Linked DNA regions of Caenorhabditis elegans. The protein of the gene in region 1 purifies or fractionates together with the protein of each later gene. This does not show direct contact. Each region holds a gene or a part of one and is shown in the gene's direction. Other genes may lie near its edges.

Region 1 (5,065 bases):
GAAAAACTGCAATAATAAACTTTTTTTCGATATTTTTACAACAAATCTCAGACCAAAATTATTGATGTTTCTTTCCAAATATTTGTCTAAAACAGATTACGATTACCATTTATTTAAAACAACATTATTTTTTTAACACTTTGAAACTGTAGTTTTTAAGTTGCATGTCCTGGTTCGATTTCTATTTATGAAAGGACAGGAAGCATTTTATCTCAAAGCATAGAATCCATGTGTTTATTCAACAAAAATAATCACATTATTAACATCGGTTTCTATTTTAGAGTTTCTACATACCCGGATTCTGTTTTACCAGACGAAATAGTCACAGACTGATTTGTACTTCTGAACATATTTAACAAAACATCCACTGTTTCAGTAAGTTTACAAGAATAATGCTTTTTACTAGTCTTTACTGACAACGGCTTTGTGAGAAAAATAATTTTAGATTTTCAAATATTTTAGAGATTTTATGAAGCAAGTTTTTCTTCGAGGAAAACGTGAGAAACGAGTATTTCCAGTACAAAAAAATCTAGTTACATGATGAATAAAATTAATATCTCATTACCAGTGATCATTGTTTTTTTTTAACATTTTGAAACGGTAACTTTTTTTTAAATTTTGCTTGTTTCCTGAATTTCACACAAAATCCCTCCCGGCTCGATTGCAATAAATAATATGAAAAAGAATTTATTTTACATATTTTGTCTACCTTTCTGTTTCTGCTTTCCTTCTACATCAGAAGTGATCATTTTTATTTTATAACATTTTGAGAAACTGATACTGTAAGGTAGTTTCAATTTTCGAGTGATCATTGCTTACAAATCTCAAAATATCAGTTAAAAAATTATGATTTTAATTTAATTCAAATTGTTATAAAGTACGATTTTTATTAGAATAACGGACGCCGGATATCTGGAATCCGTTTTACAAGACAAATCGGACTCTAGTCTGGCTTGTAGCCCTGAATCTGATTAACAAAATTATCCACTGTTTTAGTATGTTTAGAAAAAAATGGGGTGTAGAAACTTTTCATTCCTGTTTTGAATCGGCTGCAGTGTATGAATATTTTCCAAGATTCTAAAATTTCAATATTGAAATAGTCCTCGGTAAATTTTTGTGAACATTTTTTTTTGAATGAAAAACTTTATAAAAATTACTACTGCAAATTTTTGTGTGCCTTCAAAAACATAAACAATAAAATTTATAACTGTCTCTGCTAACACCAATAAACTGTATTTTTATAAATTTCTTTTTGAAACCAACCGAAAAAACAATCTAACATAAACATAAATTACAACACATTATTTCAAAAAAACAAACTAGGAAACCGTATTTTTTGTGTTCTCTCGGAATTTCCAAAAAAAAGTCTCTCAAATTTTAATAATTTTAACGGGTTTTCAAAGCACTCTAATATCAATTTTTCCAATTTTGAAATTCTTGTTCATCCATTTCATATTTTTTCAAACTTCCCATCATCAAAAAAACACCGTTAAAGTTTCAGTTTTAACCTTTTACCAACTTACCACCTACTGTGAATTCTGTCAACATTTACCATCTCAAGGTTGGAATACAACTTGATTGATGAGGGCAGGTGTGGTCAATGATATCGAAAAAAATTCAAAACAAAATGAAAACGTGTTACTACTACCACACCCCGTTTTTGGACCAAAAAAATACTATTTATAAAATTTTATATGTTTTTTTTCTCACAGTGTATACAAATGCGCTCATTAGAAAAAATTTTTAATTCATTTTTGAAATGGAGATAGTGAAACAGTAAATTTATCCTATCAAAAATTGAATATAATATAACGAAAATTTTACTGTTTTAACAAGTTTTAAATTACAAAACCAATACCTTTTATTTTCCTCTTAATATCCACAATTTCCCTTTACAAGATAACTATAAACTTTTCAACTTCTTATAGCTATCAAATTTGTTTGGAAAACTTTCATGTTTCATTATAGTGTGAAAATTATCAAATTCCCAAAATTCTTTGATCAACTAGTAAAACATTTTTAAAAATCAAGTTCAAATCCTTACAAAATTCCAGTAATGATTCTCCACTCCCTGATTCTTGTTTCTGCGGTGTCTTTGGTCTCCTCACTGGACACTACAAAAACCATGACGTCACAGCTACACGAGTTCCAAATGAACAACTCGGCCGGTGTAATGTCTGCATTGGAAATGTTACCAAAGGTATGGTCAACGGGGGAATGTGTGTAGAAATTGGATAGAATTTTCGAAGAAAAAAAAAAGTAAAATGAGAAAAAAATATTAACTGTTTCTATTAGTTCAGAAATACTCAAGACATAACTTTTGTCTCATTCATTTAAATTTTATGATTAATCAATGTATATTTTTGTAAAATTCGTCCGAAATTTCCCAGTTTTAGGAATGCTCCAAAAACGGCAAAAAATACCAACCTAACGAGGAATTTGAAATTGGAAATCTTCGATACAAATGCCAAAAATACGGCGTTTACACAATTGAAGGATGCAAGAGAAAAGATGGAACTACAATGAAATTGGGGGAATCTGCGGTAGTGGACAACGTGAAGCATCAGTGCCTTGGAATGGGTTCATCGGTTTTTTATAAGGAAACTGTGAGTTTTTGGGGATTAGAAAATGGTTTATTGCAAGAGTTTTGGAGGGTTTCATCCAATTCTTCAAATATTTAGACCTCTGATGTTAAACTCTCAATTTTTAAAATAATTTTTAACTATGTTTCAAAGCACTTATGTTATTTATCTGAAACTGAAAGCCAAAATATAAAAATTTATGTGAAGATAGATTGGCCGTCACATTTTTACGCAGTTTCAGACAAACCCATAAAAATATAGACTTTCAATTTTTTATACTCCAGAATCATCACAAACGGTCCTAAACTAGTTCCATAATACTTCAATACCATTTACTGTAATCTTGTAACAGTAAAAATTTTACGTTTCTCGGATTTTACTGTAGAAGTAAATTTTGATAAGTTGAAGTTTTTAAAACACAACGGTCAATAATTTTTACAGGTTTAATATGGCAATTTTTTCTAAAATAATTCTTGTTGAGCCAACATAGAAGCGTTTAAAACAATTTTCGCAAAGAAATTGCTGTAACTTTACCGTAAAAAGCATCAACGTGTTGGAGCATCAACTAATTTTTCAGGGTTACGAATATTAAAAAAACTACAAAAACCACTATTTTGAGATAATAAATTAGTTAATGTGTTTTTTTCTGTGGTTTTTATTACATAAAAATGTGTCAGTTGGAAATGTTTAATATCTTTTCGTTCAACAATTATCAACATGTCAAAACAGCGGAAATTTTTTTCGATACAAATTATTTTTTTGTTAAATATTTCTTCAACTCGTCCTTTTAAATATCATAAATTTTGAGAAATCGAAGCTTTATCGAAAAAATATTCATATTTCAATGTATGTTAAACGGTATGCCTTGAAATTTTTTTTACTGTTTCAAGTTCTCAATATCACAACAGTTTCATGAATAGCATCATTGGTGCATGGCGTGGCTTTGTTAAAAAAAAGTATTACCTTCAGACATGTGGAGTGATGGGAATGCCAGAATGTGACAAAGTTCCATTGCCAAAAGGATTTGAAGCAGCAATGAAGAAACACGGAGAGAAAAATGAAGTTCCGGTAGGTTTTGAGAATATTGGAATTGGGAAATAGCTTTTTTTCAGCAAAAAATATTTTATTTTGTGAAATTTAATATTTTTGGAAATGCGATTTAAAAAACGAAAAATACAAAATGGAAACCGTCATGAGATTAGTATCGGTTCATTTTCTATAATTAAAAAAACATAGTGAAACATGATAAACTTGGCAAAATATTTCATAAAGTCACATATTTCAAATAAAGCTTCCAAATGAATTAGACTTTCTTAAAATGTCTAAAATTCCATAAGTTATATTGTTCAGGGAAAAACCAATGTTGATGGTGTGGACTTGCCAAAGGGATGGTCATTGGTTGATGGTGGAAAAAAGCCAATAACTGGAACAAATGCATCAGTTGTTACTCATATTCTGATGTTCAATCCAACACAACTCAGAGCAAAAAGAGGTGGATTCAAGGGGGCGGGAGTTGGAAGTGTCATTGGGGGTTTGTTTTTTTAAAATAATTTTCAATGAAAACTCGACAAAGAGAACAATTGAGTTTTCGTAAACTTTTCCAGATTTATAAACTATTTGAAACAGTAGTTACTGTTTTTTTTTCAAAATTGGTTTTGCTTATCAAATTCTTCATTTTTATGTCAATTTAAAATAGTGGAGAGCAGCAATTTCTGCATGTCGAACCATTTTTTTTTCAAAACTGATATTTCCGAAAATATCTAGTGGGAATTTTTTTTCTTTTATAAACAAGGAACACTTACAACTGAGAATTTTGAACTTTTCTTAAAATTATCTATGTTTACTTTTCGTTATGTTTTGGAAATAAGTATGACTACACTTTGCAGTTTAAATTCGTTTTTAGAACGTGGCAATCAGACCTGTGTGGCATTCGGCATTCGGCATATGCCGATGCCGGCATAATGCCGGTTTTTGGAGCACGGCATATGCCGTTATGCTGATTTGAAAATTCACGGCATATGCCGAAAATGACGTTATGCCGAAAAATAAAATGACCGGCATAACGGCATAATGCCGACATTATGACGGCATTATGTCGTTTTTTCCTGCATTTTTGGCTTTGGTTTTTTTTTGTCAAAAACCATATTTTCATAATTATCCGATGAAACATAAAGATGTTTAAAGAGACTAAAACTGGTCCAAAACCACCGAATTTCATAATGAGACTTCGCAAAAAATTTTCACAAATTGCCGGTCAAATTTTCGAAAAAAAAAAAGAGCCAAATTTTGCTAAAATCTCAGTGAAAATTTCAGAAAAACAAAAATCCAGCAGCTGTGACAAAGAAAAGTGCGCGAAATTTTAGATTTTAGCAAAATTTGGCTCTTTTTTTTTTCGAAAATTTGACCGGCCATAAAAAATTTTTGGAAATTTTTTGTGAAGTCTCATTATGAAATTCTGTGGTTTTGGACCAGTTTTAGTCTAT
Region 2 (6,893 bases), on another chromosome or scaffold:
GTCCAAGTTTGGCCCAAAAAACATTAACTTTGATCCGAAGTTTGATAAACTTGGGCAAAAGATGACCAAGACTTTGGCAATACTGGGATTCGGGCCATCAAAGTTTAACCCAAGTTTCTCCCAACTCTTGCTAAACTTTGGCCCAAACTTTTTGTGTTTCGTTTCAATCTTCTGTAGAAGTTTGGCAAGAGCTGGGTGAAATTTGGGTTAAATTTTGATGTCACCTAAATCCAAGTTTTGCCAAAAAGTCTTGCCCAACTTTTGCCCAAGTTTAGTTTTTTATATAAGTTATAGCCGAATTCCTAAAAAAAACTATTAGAAAAGTGTTTAAAAAAAGAAAAAAAGTTGCAATTGATAGATTTCCAAATTTTCGGGGATCCAAGTTGCTTTCAAAAAGTATTCAATTTAAAAAAAAAATACTCCAAAGACAAAATGTTGCTAAAATTTTTTATTTGGAATAAAAACAATGATGGGGAAACATTCGAATAACATTATATTTCCGCTAATTATGAATTTGAGAAGCAAATTGCAAATATTTATGCTTAGGCGATTTTTTTAAAATTTGTTTCATCAGAAATTGAAAAAAAAAGTTTTAATAATGAAACTCCATTAGTTTTCTGAAATAATATTAAAACGTTTGGTTCAACTTGTAATTTCCATAAGTTGTGTCTTAAAAAATGTCAAACAGAAAAATTAACACTTTCACTACACAATCCAATTACTGGCTGCCATCCAAATCCAATGACCTCTTCTCATTAACTCACACCATTTGGCTACACATCGTTGTTTTCTTCCTCCATTTCTCGGCCTCTTTGTGGATACCACGCGGGGTTTTTGTGTGGTAGGAGAGAACTTAACTTGCCTCCATTTCCTCCCCCCCCCCCCCCCACTCTTTGGACACAACACAACTACTCGGTTTCTTCTGTTTTCGCTGCCTGTGTTTTCTGCGTTCCGCCTGGTCTTTCTGTTTGTGCCCCCTACATCACCACACACACACACACACACACACACTCCTCTCTTCCCATATGACCCCTGCCATTCACCCGCCGTCACTCGTTTTCTAAACACTTTGATCTTACGCCCCAAACATTTGGAACACTTTTACACTCTGAAAATCAACAAATTATTTTTTTTGTTTTGTTACTTTTTAAAAATGTTTTTTAAGTTTTAAATTTTCCAAAGAAAAATAAAGATATAGTATAGATATTTTTGAAAACTACTCACATAGTGCTAAAAATGACCGAATAAAAAAAATAAAACTTTTCAAAAAAAATTTTGAAATTTTTTTATTTACTGTCAAAAAGTGACAATTACTCAGTTTTGCCACTCATAATTTTAAAAGTCGACCAAAAAAAATGTTTTCTTATATTTTTTTTACTTTAATTTTGTTTTAATTGATCGTATTAAAACATTGTAAGGGTTGGAACATATGACATTGCTCATATTTTTTAAAGTTTTGGCAATTTGAAATTATGAAAAATTTTAAATTTTTAAATTTTTTTGAGTGTTCTATTATGATATTCGGTTGTTTTTGACAAGTGTATGTAGATCAAATCCCCACAGGCGCTATTCTTTAACTAAAATTTAGTTCCAAAATATTAAAAAAAAATTATTTAAATTTAAACATGTGAGAAAATGCAAAAAGTTGTTATAAAATTGCCAGATGCCAAAAAAAAAACGAATTTTTTTGTGAGACTTCATTTATTTTTTGAAAATTTTTCAAAACAATTTTCAATTAACATACAACAAATTTTTTTGGTTAACAGATCACTCTTCTATTATTTACGCTAAATTAAAAAAAAATTGCATTGAACCAACATGGTGCATTCCCTTTTACATTCTCTTTCTTTCATACAAGCTTACATTATATTCATCAATTTGAGTAACAAAACCCGTCGAAAAAATGCTGAAATGTCAAACAATGATTCGACCACAGATCTCCGTGAGTTTCTCCCCAAAAATATTAAATGCTGACCAAAATGACCATATAAAATTTGGACTACGGCGTAGTGTAGTCTGAATGATCATTGATAACATTCCCCCACCCGGGTCTTCCCCCACAAAACGTCTTTCACTTATCACTATAGTAACTTTTCGCAGCGTTTTGTGAGGGATTACCTGTTCCCTCAAAATTTTGAGCATTCAAAATTCATTTTGCAGCAACTAATGAAGCACAGTGTCAACGCAATGGCCGGAGGTCACGGTGCAGCCCGTTATAATTCAACAGGTGAGACTAAACCTTTTTTTCGATTGTAAATACATTGATGACGTTTCAGACCTACCAAAACTCCCGGCTCCACAACCAATTAAAACGCTGAAACACTTCCTGGACTTTGCACAAGCGTTGCAGTCAAAAAAGGAATTTCAAGAGACAAAACAGGTAAAAATAAAAAAAAACATTTGGAGCAAAACAAATGTCAATTTCAGATTGTAAATGATTTTGTGGTTAAGGATTTGCCGAAATTGCAAGAACTGCTGCAGAAACGAGCCGACGCACTTCCGAATTGGGTAAGATTTTTAACACTTTTTTCTAAAAAAAATAATTAGAAAAATAAATTCAAAACAACTTCCCCATTTATGATTAGGAGTAGTTAATTTTCAGTTTGGACCAAAAAAATAGAAATGTATCAATTAACTTTATAGGTTTAGCTTTACTGCAAACCAATGACACCTTTAAGTGTACCCTAAACCTAATTTTAAAAAGTTTGATACTAGAAAACTTTACAATATTTTGAAAATATTTAACGGCATAAGTAATACCTATCAGGTATTAGGCATAATGTTGGGCGTTTATATTAAATAATTTTTTCTTTGCAAAACAAACAATTTCTTGGAAATTGGTCCACAAAATAATCCGCCAGCCTATAAATTGAAAACATCAAAATGAAATCAAAATGTTGCTGAAAAAGTGACAGGGCCAGCGCCATAAAAATAGATTTCCAAATTTAACACATGGTTTTATAATATATCTAAAAACTAACTATCTTAAAATTGAGCAAGTTGGCGTTTTTTTACCGATTCAAACAAAAGATTTTCAGCTCACACCATGGTGGCTCAACATCGCCTACCTAGCTGCTCGTACCCCACTTCCAGTCGTCACATCTCCAGGAGTCATGTTCCCTAAATTTGACTATAACACCGAGGAGGGACAACTGGAATATGCAGCAAAAATCAGCCAAGCCGCTGTCCACTTTTACCTTCGAGCAAAAAAGTAGGCTTCTGGTTCAATTCGATGTTTTTTAGTTTTCAAAAAACATTTTTTCAGTAATCAGTTGAAGCCTGATATGGCAGGAAAGTCGCCGCTTGATATGAGCCAGTACCAGTTCTTGTTTGGAACAACTAGGGTACCTAAGGTTGGCGTAGATGAGATTAGATATGGATGTGACTATAAGGAGAAATTGCAACACATTTTAGTGATTAGAAATGGACATGTGAGTTTTTAAAAAATGTTATTTAAAAATTGTATCACTGATTCTTTATAAAGACTAATGAGGTTATTCAATTAATGTTGCAAAATGTATTTAAATACATTTATTACGTCACAACTGTATTAAAATACAAGTTTTCAAAAAATGTATTTTAATATAGTTTGCACCTAATTTTTCTACACTTTTTAATTTTTCGACACTTCTTGAATAACCCCATAAGACTTCAGTTGTTCCATCTAATTGAAGTTGAAAAAAATATTGCAAACAGATTTCAACAAAACCGTTAAAATCTCCCTACATTTTCAGCTCTTCCGCGTCCAAGTCCTAGACTCCAACGAGCAGCCACTCTCAATTTTTGCTATTACTCAGCAACTGGCAAAAGTCGTTTCAGAGAGTCAAACTCCAAACCCACATCCAGTGGGAATTGTCTCCTCCGATAGTCGCGACAAATGGGCAAATGTATACTCATCGCTGAAAAGTGAGCTTTCGAGAAAAAAAGTTTCAAGCCAAATGTAGAAGTTTTGCTTAGCTCCATTGTGAAGATTTTCTTTGAAGCTAGCTATGCTGATAATAATACTATTTTCAGAGGATAACAACAACGCGAAATCCCTGGAAGCCGTCGAAAAATCGTTGTTCGTAGTCTGTCTTGACAAAGCTAGTGAACCACCAGTTGGCTACACGGAGAAAGATGAGCAAAGTAGGCAGGCACTGCATGGTGGCGGCTCCAAAGTGAACTCGAGCAACAGATGGTTTGACAAGACTATTCAGGTGTGTTATTTAGTTTATCCACGGCGTGTCAGGCTGTCCCATTACGGTTTGATCTACAAAAAATGCGGGAATTTTTTGCCCATAAAAATTATACGTCAACACGTTCTTAACCAGACGAAATCAGTTGAGAACTCTGCGTCTCTTCTCCCGCATTTTTTGTAGATCTTTGTAGATCAAGCCGACATGAGACACTCTTACACCACGTGTTTATCGTTCATGCACTCATTTTTTTGCATTTGATCAGTAGAGCACATTTGCATTGCAATAGCAAAAAATATACCTGGAAATTTCAGTTTGTCATCGGAACAAATGGCTACACCGGAATGACGTATGAGCACACTCCAGCCGAAGGACCACCAGTCGGTGCACTCATGGATTTTATTTGTGATCAATTGTGAGTTTTTGAAATTTATAACTGATTACAAAAAAATTTGTTGAAAAACTTGAATTTGAACAGAAATTTAAAATGTTGTCTTTTTCGTTTTATCGTTGGGTCAAAAACCGGAACTGTGGCACTTTAGGTGGAGTAGCGCCAGTGGGGAACTTGTGAAAAACTACTCCTACACATGGTGCCAAAATGACCGAATATCATAATAAATCCTTTCAAAAGTTTTTTAAAATTTTTTTATTTACTGTCAAACAGTGACAGTTACTCAGTTTTTCCACATATAATTTTGGAAGTCGACCAAAAAAAAAATTTTTCCTACATTTTTTTATACTGTAGTTCTGTTTAAATAATTTGTCTTAAAACATTGCATGTGTCGTTTTTCAAAATATTGGCAGTTTGCCAAAACTTCGGCCGGAAATTATGAAAAATCGAAAAATGTTTGGAGTGTTTTATTATGATATTCTGTCGTGTTGGATCATAATAAGTGTATTCAGACCAAATTCCCACTGGCGCTACTCCACCTTTAACCATAGCAATATAAATATTTCTGATCCTACGCTTCATCAAACAAGTTTATTTAAAATGTTGCAAAAAGTATTCTGGTAGCTTGGATATCTTCAGTTAGTAACATTTAAGATAATATATCTATTATATTTCCTTCAATTTTTCAGTGATGCTAACACATTCATTACTGAAGGCACACCTTCCAACTCCCCAGTGCAACGTCTCGATATTTCCACTGACGAGGAAATCAACAAAAGAATCGCCAAGAGCTCCAAGAACATGGACAGCATCGCCGAGGACCTTGATATCGTCGCGTTCACGTTCAAGCCCTACGGAAAGAATTTCCCGAAATCCTCAAAGATCTCGCCCGACTCGTTCATCCAAATGGCTTACCAATTAGCTTTCTACCGGATCCACTCATCGCGTAAGTCAATTATCCCCCATCTTACAATTTGATGACGAATTAAATTTCCAGTTCCACCAACCTACGAGACGGCCACTTTGCGTAAATTCACCGAGGGTCGAACCGAGAACATCCGATCTCCGAATACAGCTGCAGCATCATTTGTCAAGAAGGTGTGTGTTTGTGTGTGACCTAGATCGATCACCCAATTTAACTCACTCAATTTTCAGATGGTATCTAAGCCTCCTACGCCGGTTAGTGAAATCTACGATGCACTTGTTCACGCAACAAATTCGCATAAAAAGTACACCATGGATTGTATGGATGCAGCTGGAATGGACAGACATTTATTGGCATGGAAGTTGATCGCTACTGAAAATAATCTCCCAACCCCAGAAATCTTCGGTTCCAACATCTACCAACAACTCAACCATTTCCAAGTCTCCACAAGTCAAGTTCCCACACGGCATTTCATCCAAATGTGCTTCGGACCATCTGCCCTTGATTGCTATGGAATTTGCTACAACCCACAGGAAACTGAACTTCACTTTATGATCTCAACATTCAAGAGCTACGGCTCGACGAGTTCCAAGAAGTTTGCCAAGGAACTTCAAAAGGCGCTAATTGACATGAAATCGGTTATTAATAAGGCTACAAAAGAAATGTCCAAGTTGTAGGAGATCATATTTTGATACTACTTTTTTTTAAAGAATAACATTTCACACGCCATAACTAGTGCTCCTACGTGTTCAGATCCCAATGTTTTTTTTTCTGCTTTATTGTAATTGATTGAAAATGCTTGTAGATATTTTATGAAAACATTTTATATGAATAAATAATTTGTATAATAAATACGTTTCCGTCAGAGGTGTATCACAAATATCCACGATAAATCTACAAAACATCTAATATTGGGGTGATAGCCAAGAAATAGAGAAAAAATGTGATTGATTTCAGAATTGTTTTGCTAAAATCGATAGTTTAAAATATGCTATTCCTGCCATAAAAATTGTGTGCATTTATCTAGCAGACCGATCAAAAGATTTTTGGTACAAATAAGCATATTTTACAATGAACCAACTTCTATCAAGTAACTAATATTTATTTTTTCTGTAAAAACTAGTGACAAAACTTTTGTACAGTTTAAAAAATAATTCTCAAATAAAATCAACAAAATACAAAAAAAAAAAACGAATACCCCGTGTGACAAATAATTAGAGATTTCATGAAGTTGGTGGGTGACAATTCCAATGTCTCGGGAACAAAAGGTCCACAACGGCATTGGAGTACGGGGCACAGTGTCCACGTCTCGCGTACCATTCTTGGCCGTAGAAAGCAATGAACATTCCGGTTCCTGAAAGATGGTTGTATTTTAGTGGTTTTAACATGTTCTAAAGCAATG

The links.
Region 2: the proteins of R05A10.1 (region 1) and B0395.3 fractionate together in Caenorhabditis elegans (co-fractionation; one large-scale study listed by BioGRID). This does not show direct contact.

Annotation. Positions count from the first base shown.
Region 1 is NC_003282.8:14,180,323-14,185,387, forward strand, and holds the start of R05A10.1 (Abnormal cell migration protein 18-like fibronectin type I domain-containing protein), read left to right. Parts: upstream 1-2,054; 5' UTR 2,055-2,056; coding exon 2,057-2,200; intron 2,201-2,329; exon of another isoform or gene 2,330-2,350; intron 2,351-2,396; coding exon 2,397-2,606; intron 2,607-2,690; exon of another isoform or gene 2,691-2,714; intron 2,715-2,861; exon of another isoform or gene 2,862-2,888; intron 2,889-3,244; exon of another isoform or gene 3,245-3,266; intron 3,267-3,508; exon of another isoform or gene 3,509-3,529; intron 3,530-3,551; coding exon 3,552-3,650; intron 3,651-3,759; exon of another isoform or gene 3,760-3,780; intron 3,781-3,932; coding exon 3,933-4,113; intron 4,114-4,141; exon of another isoform or gene 4,142-4,162; intron 4,163-4,532; coding exon of another isoform or gene 4,533-4,653; intron 4,654-5,065.
Region 2 is NC_003284.9:16,034,499-16,041,391, reverse strand, and holds B0395.3 (Choline/carnitine acyltransferase domain-containing protein), read left to right. Parts: upstream 1-2,160; 5' UTR 2,161-2,166; coding exon 2,167-2,227; intron 2,228-2,276; coding exon 2,277-2,380; intron 2,381-2,427; coding exon 2,428-2,508; intron 2,509-3,038; coding exon 3,039-3,211; intron 3,212-3,265; coding exon 3,266-3,431; intron 3,432-3,734; coding exon 3,735-3,906; intron 3,907-4,014; coding exon 4,015-4,196; intron 4,197-4,489; coding exon 4,490-4,590; intron 4,591-5,255; coding exon 5,256-5,512; intron 5,513-5,563; coding exon 5,564-5,664; intron 5,665-5,721; coding exon 5,722-6,168; 3' UTR 6,169-6,356; downstream 6,357-6,893. Other genes in the region: mboa-1 (O-acyltransferase), read right to left, coding at 6,715-6,845.